3 linked regions of the Canis lupus familiaris genome follow. The protein of the gene in region 1 binds, or shares a complex with, the protein of each later gene. Links are inferred from orthologs where the notes say so. Each region holds a gene or a part of one and is shown in the gene's direction. Other genes may lie near its edges.

Region 1 (3,645 bases):
TGGTTCCCCATTATCCTAGGCAGGTGTCTTCTGAGTTTTAGTAATTTTTCTCTTAACATCATGAGGATATGATAAACAAGGCACATTCCTTCCTAATTGTATGTGCTTTGGCTTTGCCTGTCTTGTTTTCAGACCTGGAGACTTTTCGTCTCATGACAGAATGGCAAACTCAGGTTAGCACTTCCTGTAGCTCACCTCTGCCCAGTCCTTCCCAGACCTGCTGGCATTGCCCCAGTTACCATTGAAGTCTTTTATCCCCCCCTTAAAAGATTTATTTACTTATTTATTTGACAGAGAGCCCACGCACGCAAGCACAAGCAGGGAGAACTGCAGAGGGAGAGGGAGAAGCAGGCTCCCTGCTGAGCGGGGAGCTCGACTGGGGGCTCCATCCCAGGACCCCAGGACCATGACCCAAGCCAAAGTCTGATGCTTAACCGACTGAGCAACCCACGTGCCCCTATCACTGAAATCTTCACATCCATTTTCGTATCAGCCTAACTTAGAAACCATCTTTCCCCCTGAAATACATTAACTTTATTCTTGGAGACTGAGGATATTAAATAAATAAATAAATAAATACCCCCAACATAACATTACTGTTTATATTTCTTCTTAGGAATTGTGCTTATTATTTATCCTTATTTTATATTTCTAATCTCTAACATTCCTTTGTAATTTTATATTCTCTTCTGCTTACTTCAGTTAAAGCTCTTATTAGGTAGGGGCACCTGGGTGGCTCAATTGGTTAAGCTTCGGACTCTTGGTTTTGGCTCAGGTCATGATTTTAGGATCATGGGATTGAGCCCTGCATCAGGCTCTGTGCTGGACATGGAGTCTGCTTATCTCCCTCCCTCCCTCTTTGCTCTTCCCTGACTCACGCATGCTCTCTTGCTTTCTCTCTTTCTCTGTCAAATGGATAAATAAAATCTAAACAAACAAACAACAACTATAAGTGAGACTTTGAAAGTTGAGAATTCTTACGGTGGTTCCTGGCCTTGTTTGCTGACTTCTCCTTCACCACCCCTGTGCCTGCACTTCACAGGCTAAAATACCTGTCCTTGTTCCGTGTCAGCCTTTTATCCCCCTTCCTACTTGGGTACTTCTAGATCTACACTTCAGCCATTTATGGTAAACTTGAATGGCCTTATTGGAAAGAATTAATTTTAAAATAGAAGATTCTGTGACTTAGAAAACTTCCAGGGGATCCCTGAGTGGCTCAACGGTTTAGCACCTGCCTTCCGCCCAGGGCATGATCCTGGAGTCCCGGGATCGAGTCCCACATCAGGCTCGCTGCATGGAGCCTGCTTCTCCCTCTGCCTGTGTCTCTGCCTCTCTATCTCTCTTTCTCTCTGTCTCTCGTAAATAAATAAATAAATAAATAAATAAATAAATAAATAAATAAATAAATAAATAAATAAATAAATAACTTCCAGAAAATAGTTTTATATCAACCTGTAGGAAGCACTGCACCTTCATCTCTGCATTCGTGGTAGGAAGCTCTTTCTGTTTCGACCTCATTGACTTCCTCTGGGACTCCTGTTTTAAATTTTCTCTTCTTCAGTTCTCTCAGATAGGGGTGTCTATTAGATTAGTGTTGAGAAATGTTCATAAGAAACTGGGTATTTGGTGAATAGCAGAATTAAACATCATTTCTGTTTTATTAACAGAGATATGTAATTCTGGTTTTTCCACAGCTTTCCCAGGCAGCCGCCAGCATCGATAACCGGGTCCCCACTCCTTCCTCGGTGGCCAGCGCCGAAACCAACTCCCAACAGACAGGACCCGAGGTACCAATGCTGGAAGTGAAGGCAGAGGTCAAGACCGAGGACACTGAGCCGGATGCCAGTGAAGCCAAGGGGGAGCCTGGGTCCACGGTAGGTGCCCTTCCTGGGGCGTGAACAGGTGTGCACCATACTGAAGCGTCCTGAGGCGAGACACCGCATGTTCTCCATGGACGACACTGCTTTTTGTTTTAATGTCCTGTTTGATGATGGATTCAGAGAGGATAAATGTTAAAAATAGATTAGTTATTTTTAGGTATTAGGTACGGGTTTTACTATATTTTGCCAGAAATGAAGAGGACACTGGTTTATATTCTAAATGATTGAATCATCCAGTGACTGCACTGTCATTCTTCATTCATAGGTAGTTCTGTAGAGTTAGACTGCACAAGGGTGTGCTCATTCATTAATTAACCTGTGGCAAAAGCTAAAGACTGGCAAGCCATGGGCTGGATCCACCCCCATCCACATGTTTTGTTTGGCCCACACAATATTTTTTAAAATGAGGAATTACAAATAAAACTCTGGGTTTCTGGCTTTTCTTTGAAAATGAGAAGCTCTGTCAGCCTTGTGCTTACATTCCTATGTCAGCAGTCTGGGTGGGAGCCTCAGCCCTGGCTTTTAGATGGGGCTTGGGCTCCAATTTGCCGGAGTCTCCACTCCCCACTCTGGCTCACACACCTCCTGCTGCATCATGTACTTCACCTGCCTGGCCCTCTGAGCAGTTTGGTTTTTGAAACTTGCCCCAACTTTCAAGAAGATTCTTGTTCCAAACTAGAAATGCCTACATGTAAAACTACTGGGCAGGTGATGGGGTGTGTATATGCAATGTCTTATAAGCACTCTAGCATATAAAATTTTTAAATTGGGACTATAATTGCAGTGGTGCTGTCCTAAGGCAACTCACCTGACACCAGATGTTCCAATCCTTCCTGGGGGAGAGGAAGGGATGGTAAATGCAACTCTTGAGTAGGGTACAGCTTGATAAGCCCAGATAGATTGTTAAGAGACTTCCAGTGAGGCTGAGTTAGAATAAAGGTCTTTGCTATTCATACATTATTACCTGTAATTCTGTATTTCTCAAGATGATGGAAGAGGATCTACAAGGATCTTCTCAAGTTAAAGAAGAGACAGACACAACAGAACAGAAATCAGAACCGATGGAAGTGGACGAGAAGAAGCCGGAAGTCAAAGTAGAAGCTAAAGAGGAAGAAGAGAACAGTGCTAATGGGGCCACCTCTCAGTCAACATCTCCTTCACAGCCACGCAAAAAAAGTAGGTTGTGTTTCCTGGACTTGTTTTATCGTGCTGCTTTTCCATCGTGTTGGGATTGCACACCACAGGTTAAAAGCTAAAGCAGAAAAATAATTGTCTCCCCCCCTTATATCTTTTCTGCCTGCCATTCCCCAAGTTTTACTTCTTCAGAAATGATGACAGAGAGCTAGACTGCAGCCTGAGGGCCCATGAGGTTTATGGTGGGAATGAGAAATGAGCCGCAGCTCTGAGGGGCAGCCCAGGAGCACATCTCTCCTCTGAGCCATCATTCCCCATGGGGCCAAAGTAGAAGTTGCATCTGAGTCCTTGTGCCCGCTGAGGAGCTTGGGCTTTCTTTACTCAGTAGGGCCTGGACGACCACGGATAGATTTGAGCAGGAGGTTGACTGCCACACTAGGGAAATTATCACCGTGGCTACACGTGGGTGCACTGTTACAGATGGGAAGGTGTGCTCAGAGTAAATGGGCAGTGGAACAGGACCCAGTGCCTGGTGCAGTGGGAGGGGTGCAGATAACTGAAGATGCTTTGCGGGGTGAGGCAGCCTCGCAGGGGGACTCAGAGGGAACCCATTGGAGGTCCAGCATGAAGT
Region 2 (3,633 bases), on another chromosome or scaffold:
CTGTGGAGACCGTCACGGAGCTCACGGAGTTCGCCAAGTCCATCCCTGGCTTCGCGAACTTGGACTTGAATGATCAGGTCACTCTACTGAAATATGGAGTGTATGAGGCCATATTTGCGATGCTGTCTTCTGTGATGAATAAAGACGGGATGCTGGTAGCCTATGGAAATGGCTTTATAACTCGTGAGTTCCTAAAGAGCCTAAGGAAACCGTTCTGTGATATCATGGAACCAAAGTTTGATTTTGCGATGAAGTTCAATGCACTGGAGCTAGATGACAGCGACATCTCCCTTTTTGTGGCTGCTATCATTTGCTGTGGAGGTAAGTCGTTGACGTAACCCAGCGCCGTGTCACCTGCAGCCTCTTGGTGCACACGTGCATCATGCACAGTGGAGCATGCGCTGGCAGATGGGAGGGCGTCTATGCCCCTACATCGCCGCCGATTGGAATTCAGTGAGATTTATATCCTATCATATCACATAACAGCATACATTATTATATATAAACACATAGTTGTGCAGTAAATGAATATGTCCCATTCATAATTATGTTGTATATGTAATATTCTATTTGTAATCATAATATAATCATATCAAACATAATATATTAGGTGTAATGGTAATATAGTTTTATCTAATATATTTAATATATATTAGAAAGAATTATGTTACAATGTACAGTGTATCATGTTACTGTTATATAATTCTATTATTATAGTGTTATATCCGTATTATAGGCAGTATTCTATAAAGGGCCGTACAGATGTTAGTGCAGTTTATTTCACCATTGGTATATTTATTCCATTTCATAATGAAAAATATCAGTAGCTCACTGGCAGTGTTTGCAGTTTGCTTTGCCAAAGGAAATGGATCCCAGTGAAGGAAAATCTGGGCCTCTCTGCAAGGAAGCTGGCTCTGCAGCTCCCAGAATTTTGGCTCAGTGTCATGTTCCTTTAAATAACCCTGTCCTGGTATAAGAAGGTCATCCCTATACCGTAAACTCAGCTGACCTCACCCAGCCCCCAGGGAGGCCAAGGGGGGTGACCACCGACCACTGCCGCAAACTGCCAGAAGCTGTACTGTCCTGCACGGTTTGCTGACTTGCAGGGCTGAGGCTGGCCACAGACGCCCAGACGCTGGAAGCCCCACAAGGCCTGTTCCTGTTACTGTTCAGCTGCCCCCAGTCAGGTGGAGGGAGTCCTTCTGCTCTGGCAAAAAATGTAAAATGCAAAAACAGTTGTACATAATCTACATTGTCCTTTGTATGCTCGAGATGTAGTGCTGTGAGTAAAAAGCAAGCGCACAACCATTTATAGGTAGTACGAGCAGAGTTTTCTAAAAGAAGTTATAATCGCTTATCAATCCCGGGGCGCCCGGTCAGCTCAGTCAGTTAAGCATGTGACTCTTGATTTCAGCTCAGGTCATGATCTCAAGGTCGTGAGATCCAGCCCCACATTGGGCCCTGCACTGAGTGGGGAGTCTCACCGCACATGTTCTCCATTTCTCTCTCTCTCAAAAAAAAAAATCATATATCAATCCTATGTACAGAAAAGTGTCTGGTGTGGTATACCTTAAACCTTACGAGGGGAATTCACTTTGTTTTTTTAATCTCTCCTTTTAAAAAGTTAGTAATTATATTCATTTTACAACCCCAGAAAAAGCAATGAAAAAGTCCACATCCTTAGCAGCACTTTTAACAACCCTAGTAAGGAGTGGGGCCTTAAAGAGAGCACTGCCTATTGGATGGCAGTGGGGACAGGGAATACTCTAGACCAAAGACCCGTGTGCCCAGGACGTGTGCATTCCTCTGTCCCAGGAGGTCTGGTGCCTGCGGTTGAGCTGCCCCAGGGAGGGCGTGTGGTGTACACGTTGAACTGCCTGCACCGGATCTCAGGCATTCCTGGGGCTCGTCAGCACCCCATCGAGGTAGCATCTACCACTCACATCTCACTCCACTGTCTATGCAGCAGATTCATATTGGAAGATTCCTAGCATCTGTTCCCCTAACGAGTGCTTTTTACCACAAAACCCAGTCTAACGCAATCCTTAAAACAGTGGTGGAGAACTTAAAACTGAATATCTAGTTTTGATTCAAGATGTATTTCATTTCATATTATACAAAACTGGTTGTTTTAATCGTCATCAGAATGTCTGATTACTCCTATGTTTTGGGTTTTTTCCCCTAATTGGTGGTCATCAAGGAAATCCAAAATGAAAGGGCCATGGTGTAGGATAGCTGGTCGACTTAAGGGAGTACAAAAATACTTAGGATCGAGTATTTGTCCTGTCTGCGCATTAGGCCCAGTGACTTTGGAAGAATCGAGGTCTGTCTTCCCGCCGAGTCAACGTTATTGGAAGGCAGTGTAAGAGTAAGAATGTTTGGTCTCCCGAACCCATAAACAGTTAGGAGGTGTCCGTGGGAGGTTTATCACAACCGTCTCTTATTTCTTTTGAGAATAGATCGCCCCGGCCTTCTAAACGTGGGACACATTGAAAAAATGCAGGAGGGCATTGTGCATGTGCTCAAACTTCACCTGCAGACCAACCACCCGGACAACATCTTTCTCTTCCCAAAACTCCTTCAAAAAATGGCAGACCTCCGGCAGCTGGTCACCGAGCACGCACAGCTGGTGCAGGTCATCAAAAAGACGGAGTCGGACGCAGCCCTGCACCCCCTGCTGCAGGAAATCTACAGGGACATGTACTGACGGCTTGAGAGCGAACCGCACGACAAGCAGCTCTTCGAGGACTTTTAAAGTCGACAGCACTACAAATGAAAACTGGGAGCAATGCCTGCTTTGCACAAATTCCACCATTTTCACCTTAGAGAATGGGACGGATGAGCCCTAGGTAACCGGAAACCTAGACCACATTTCTTTCTTTTTCACATCAGTACTTGTAAGAGCGTGCCAAGTGTCGAAACGCCGGTGACAGGTAGCTGATAGGCAGTTCTTGGAAAATTAAGGGGAATGATGCCCAGCAGTCTGATTTTAACTCACTTGATGTTAATCCATGCAGATTTCTTTATATCACATTAGCCGTGTAGCCTTGAATTAACTGGTGACCTTGAAATACGTGGTCTGTCTTCTCTTTCTGCCACCTGTTGACTCTTGCGCTCCTTTGTATCGTTTTGGAAACTAATCAGCACTTTTTAACTTTTATAATCCTGTAAATCTAGATGAATCCAAAGGTTAGGTTATTTTTTAAAAGCAGCAAAATATTTATTGGGGAGACTTTAATTCTGTTTCCTGAATTTGAAGAAAGACAACATGCTGTTTCTTTTTTTTTTTTTTTTAACATGCTGTTTCTTAATCAGAGGATTTGAAATTTCCAAGGATTATTTGATAAGCTATCCAAATGCAACAGTCGGTCGGTTTTCACTGTGTTGGGGGTTGTGACTTAATAGGCAGGAGGGCCTGTTTCTAGGTTTGTCTAGAAGATCCCAGAAAACTGAGTCTCAAGACTCCCCCCCCCCCCCCCCCCGGACTTGACGCTCTGCTTGTTTTCTCCAGCTGGTGTCTGTGGTCCCGTGGTCAGCAGGAGCAAGACAAACGGAGACTGTGTCAGCTCTCCGACCCTCTGACCTCTGTCTCCTATCAAATCTGAACCAACCGAGTCAGGTTGTTTGGGGGCC
Region 3 (4,211 bases), on another chromosome or scaffold:
ATGAATAAATAAATAAAATCTTAAAAAAAAAAAAAAAAAAAAAAAAAGGTTCAAAGTTTTGGCCCTGCCGGTGTCCAGGTGATCTAGGAAAATCTCTTACCAGGCTCTGAAACATAGCATGGGCGGAGGGGCAAGGAGCAAGGCCGAGGGGACACAGGGGGGTCTGCTCCTCGCCCCAGGGGACAGGGAAGACATCTTCGAAGACGGCTCAGGAAATCTGTTGGCTCCTCCTGGGCAGGACTCCTGGGGAAGGGGACCTCAGAGAATGACTGCAGAGGCCCCTTGCAAGCAGTCCCTTCTTCCTCCCACTGAGGGCCTGTCACTGCAACCCCAGGGACAAGGATAAAGGGCCAGATATAAAAGAGGGGAACGCAGACAGAGACCAGGTACAAAAGTTAGAGAGGGCCCCACCCCAAATGCAGGCCCCAGCGGAAAGAAGGCAGCTCCTCTTACCTGGGTGGGGTAGGGCTGGGGAACCCAGCAGCCTCACCTCGCCTAAAGAAGGCAGCTAGGACTCTCAGCGTGTCCTCCCGGAGCCCCAGCTCTTCTGAGCCTGCCATGGGGGCACCTGTGAAAAAGGGAGCTGGGGGATGGGCTCCAGGGTTGAACTGAAGTGGAGGATTGGTGCCCAAATGCCTAGTCCCTGAATAAGGAGGGCGCCAGGACCCACGAATTCCCGAAGGAAGAAGGGGGTGAGAGTCTCAACTCCTAAATCCTTTAGGGGAGTTAGGGTCTGGGGACCCAGACTCTTGAGTTCTCAGAGGGAGAAGAGCGATGAGGCCGAAGACTCCTTGATCCTTGGAGAGGAAGAGGCTTAGGGACCCGGGTTCCTGGGGTCAAAAGACTGGGGGCTGGACTCTGAAGATTTTTTGGAGAAGGGGGCTGGAGGATCTGAATTGTTGAGTCTGAGAAAGAACGGAACTTGGGGCAACGACTTCTGGTTTCTGGAGGCATAACGCCAAGCCGCTCATGCTCTTAGAGAATCAGGAACTACGAATCCCAGCAGGCTTCATGGCAAACCTTCCCCTCGGTCCGCACTTGTGCGCCGCGCAGCCTCCTTGGGAAGTGTAGTTCCATTATCTGACCCACGCTGGAATCTTGGGGACCCGGGGTGCATAGATGTCCAGGAAGCGGGACTGAGGTGCCCGCTCCTAGACCCGTCCTTTTCCCTTCTCGCCCCAGCCTGCACAAAAGCCCAGCTTACCTGGGGCCGGGAAGCCGCCGACCCCCTCTCCTTCACCGAACTTGAGCAAACTTTTATTAGTGCAACTTTCCCGCGCCTGCGCACTGGGCCGGGTTGGTGTCAGCCCCGTAGTGGGAGGGGCGGAGCGCTGGATACCCATCTGATTTGCATGTGGCGTTCCCAGCATGCCTTTGGCCGGAAGACCTATAAAGGGCATAGCGGGGGGGGAGGGGAGAACCGGGGGCGTCCGGGTTCTTGGTGCCGCCTCTTTGGCTCTGGAGTCTTGTCAACCAATCGCAGATAAAGTTGTTTTTGTTTTATGAAATCGATAGAAAAGAAAACCCTCTTTCTCTGAAGCTCAGCTGACGGGAAGTAGGGTGTGCAGCTGCAAGTTCGAGAGTTATCGGACCCCAAAGGCAGGGGCGGGTTCTAGCACCCTGAGCGCCCCGACCCTCTACGTAGGTAACTGGGAAGATCTGGGGAATTGGTGGCGCCCGGGGCGAGAAACGCGAGACGTGCTGGGTCTGCCCTGAGTCTAGAGGAGCAAGGTGTACTCTAGGGAAGGTGAAGCAGAGTTCGAGTAAAAGTGAAGCTATGGCCGCTGCCGGAGGTCGGCTGTGAAATAAAAAGTAGTAGCGGGGGCGGGGGGGAGGCGTCTGCATGGGGGGATCTAAGGCAGAGAAGAGCAGACTCTGAAAATGGGAGGCAGTCCACTCTATAGAGTATGTGTGGGGGGGGGGTGCCCTAGAGGAAGGAAGCTGTTTGGGGGGAAGGATGGTGGATGGAGGGTCCACCGTGGAAATGGGTGAGGGGCTCTTCTGTAGGAGTCCGCAACACAGATAAGTGCGGGAGGTAGAGATCTACAAGGTAATAACGTCTGCCCTGAAATAACCAGGGGAGTCTCTACCTTGGACGCGGAGGTGACTGCCTTAGGTGATGTGGGGGAGGGGAGGGGAGGAGAGGGTTTACAACGGAAGAGGGAAGAATCTACCCTGGCTGAGTTGGGGAGGTAGAGGATCTGCTCAGGAGGAGGTGGGGAAAGACGGGCCGTCTCAAATGGATTGGGCGGGAAGTCCTCGTTGACTTGGGGGACTGTCTGGAGGTGAAAAGAGGAGTTGTCTTGTTTTATACCCCAGGAAAATATAAGTGAGGGACGCTGCACCGCCGCCCCATGAGAGGAAGGTCTGGGAGCGGAACCCTCGGGGGTGGGGGCGGGTAGCTAAGAGGCCATCCGCGCCCACGAACTGCCCTCTAAGCGCAGGCCGGACCATGGGAACCCCAAAACCGCGGATCCTGCCCTGGCTGGTGTCACAGCTGGACCTAGGGCAGCTGGAGGGGGTGGCCTGGCTGGACGAGCGCCGCACGCGCTTTCGCATCCCTTGGAAGCATGGCTTGCGGCAGGATGCCCAGCAGGAGGACTTCGGCATCTTCCAGGTGCGAGAGCTTCGTGCCGCCGGGGAGCCCTGAGCTAACCTACCCGAGGGGTGGACTCCCAGGGGGCGGAGCCGAGAGGGAGGGGTTAGCCTGCGTAGGGTCGGCCGGCGCTGACGGTGGCAGGTGGAGGTGAGTGGAGTTAGGACAGGACTGGGCAGGGTTAGGAGGATCAGCGGACGGATGTCGCAAGGCGGGCACGGCTGGAACGGCCAGGTTCCGGAAAAAGAACCGGAAAAGCGGGGTTAGAACTCGAGAGAAATGCAAACTGGGGATTGAGGGCTCGCAGAGGGCGGGGCTTTGGGTCGTAGAATTCTGAGGGCTGGTTTTGGAACCTTCGAGGCGAGACCTGGCCCCAAAGCTGAGGTGATTTCCCACCAAATTCGGATACACCAGTGGTGGTAACCCGAGTTCGAGTACGAGGGGGCGGGGCCATTACAACCTGTCCTGGGGCAGGTTGCTGGCAGAGTTAGACGCCCAGTAGGACCTGGAAGGTTGGCTTAGAAAGCAAAGTTTTTGAATAGGTGAAGCGGGGGGGTGGGGGGGGGTGGGGGTGGGAGGGTGCTTACGATGCAGAGTCCAAGAGTTTGGGGATGGATCCTTGTCAAGTTAGAACGTGCCAGGGGAGAGCGCCCTTGGGCCGGGGTCTTAGTCATCCTCACCATCCTGGTACCAACTGGATCCCCAGGCGTGGGCCGAGGTCAGCGGTGCCTACACTCCTGGAAAGGATAAACCTGATCTGCCCACCTGGAAGAGGAATTTCCGATCTGCCCTGAACCGGAAGGAGGAGTTGCGTGTAGCTGAAGATCGGAGCAAAGACCCCCACGACCCACACAAGGTCTATGAGTTTGTGATCTCAGGTGTGCCAGAAGTGGGGCTCCATGTGGAGGGATGGGATTTTGAGCATCCCCAACACTCTGCTCCACTCACCACCTTCCCTGGCAGGAGCTGGGAACTTGCCTGAGTTGGACACCTTTCCAGACACCAATGGCAGATACAGTACCTCGGATACCCAGGCAAGAATGCACCCCATCCTTCCTGCCCTCAGGATGACCCATCTTCTGTGTCCCCACAGCCTTGTTCAGGCTTCCTCTCCTCCCCCTGGACCATCACATCAAATCTTCCTCCTGAGCCTCCATCCTATCCCCTGTGGGCTGTCCACCCACTCATCTAGAGATGACCCTGTCCCTCTCCTGCTCATAGCGAGCCCTTCCATGGATGCTTCCAGTGTCTCAGGAAAAAAATGCAGAGCTTTCACCAAGGCATTTAGGGCCCTAATACACCTTTCTAGAATTTCACAGTTTCTCTTGCTATGTAGAGTACCCTCAGCCTCCTGGGAACCCAGAACCACCCTATCCTTGGTCTTGCTGACGTCCATGCCAGGGCAGGTCCCCTCTGAAATAGTGTCCAGCCTTCTCTGCCCAGGTCTTGCTTGCCCAGGGCCAGGTCCTTGGGCTGGAACTAGCTGTTCCCCTTGGGCCAATAGTAGCATCCATCATATACCAGAGCATATATTTTGTCATCTGTGCCCATGCTTGTCTACCTACCTCCTATCCCCCACCTCCCTGCCAGCCCCAACTGGAAGCCCCCGCCCCCT

The links.
Region 2: the proteins of CREBBP (region 1) and PPARA are in contact, whole or in part, in a crystal structure (PDB 9IWL), measured with the Homo sapiens proteins. The link is inferred for Canis lupus familiaris from reciprocal best matches to the Homo sapiens genes CREBBP and PPARA. Residues at the interface, in NP_004371.2 of Homo sapiens: Asp62, Ala63, Ala64, Lys66, His67, Lys68, Gln69, Leu70, Ser71, Leu73, Leu74, Arg75; in NP_001001928.1 of Homo sapiens: Val284, Thr285, Thr288, Glu289, Lys292, Phe297, Leu302, Asn303, Gln305, Val306, Thr307, Leu309, Lys310, His457, Pro458, Leu459, Glu462, Ile463.
Region 3: the proteins of CREBBP (region 1) and IRF3 are in contact, whole or in part, in a crystal structure (PDB 5JEM), measured with the Homo sapiens proteins. The link is inferred for Canis lupus familiaris from reciprocal best matches to the Homo sapiens genes CREBBP and IRF3. Residues at the interface, in NP_004371.2 of Homo sapiens: Leu2070, Thr2073, Leu2074, Lys2075, Ser2076, Ser2079, Gln2081, Gln2082, Gln2084, Gln2085, Val2086, Asn2088, Ile2089, Leu2090, Asn2093, Gln2095, Leu2096, Ala2099, Phe2100, Gln2103; in NP_001562.1 of Homo sapiens: Pro198, Gly199, Glu200, Glu201, Trp202, Glu203, Ser221, Leu322, Ile326, Leu329, Ile330, Thr333, Thr370, Cys371, Leu372, Ala374, Leu375, Glu377, Met378, Ala379, Val381, Gly382, Gly383, Ala384.

The regions. Positions count from the first base shown.
Region 1 is NC_049227.1:37,802,821-37,806,465, forward strand, and holds part of CREBBP (CREB-binding protein), read left to right. Parts: intron 1-1,694; coding exon 1,695-1,874; intron 1,875-2,866; coding exon 2,867-3,056; intron 3,057-3,645. UniProt on the Homo sapiens protein: Acetylates histones, giving a specific tag for transcriptional activation. Mediates acetylation of histone H3 at 'Lys-18' and 'Lys-27' (H3K18ac and H3K27ac, respectively).
Region 2 is NC_049231.1:20,888,594-20,892,226, reverse strand, and holds the end of PPARA (peroxisome proliferator-activated receptor alpha), read left to right. Parts: coding exon 1-321; intron 322-2,459; coding exon 2,460-2,707; 3' UTR 2,708-3,071; downstream 3,072-3,633. UniProt on the Homo sapiens protein: Ligand-activated transcription factor. Key regulator of lipid metabolism. Activated by the endogenous ligand 1-palmitoyl-2-oleoyl-sn-glycerol-3-phosphocholine (16:0/18:1-GPC). Activated by oleylethanolamide, a naturally occurring lipid that regulates satiety.
Region 3 is NC_049222.1:107,548,715-107,552,925, forward strand, and holds the start of IRF3 (interferon regulatory factor 3), read left to right. Parts: upstream 1-1,408; 5' UTR 1,409-1,645; intron 1,646-2,439; 5' UTR 2,440-2,452; coding exon 2,453-2,617; intron 2,618-3,302; coding exon 3,303-3,474; intron 3,475-3,559; coding exon 3,560-3,630; intron 3,631-4,211. Other genes in the region: BCL2L12 (bcl-2-like protein 12), read right to left, coding at 101-243, 454-568, 1,205-1,343.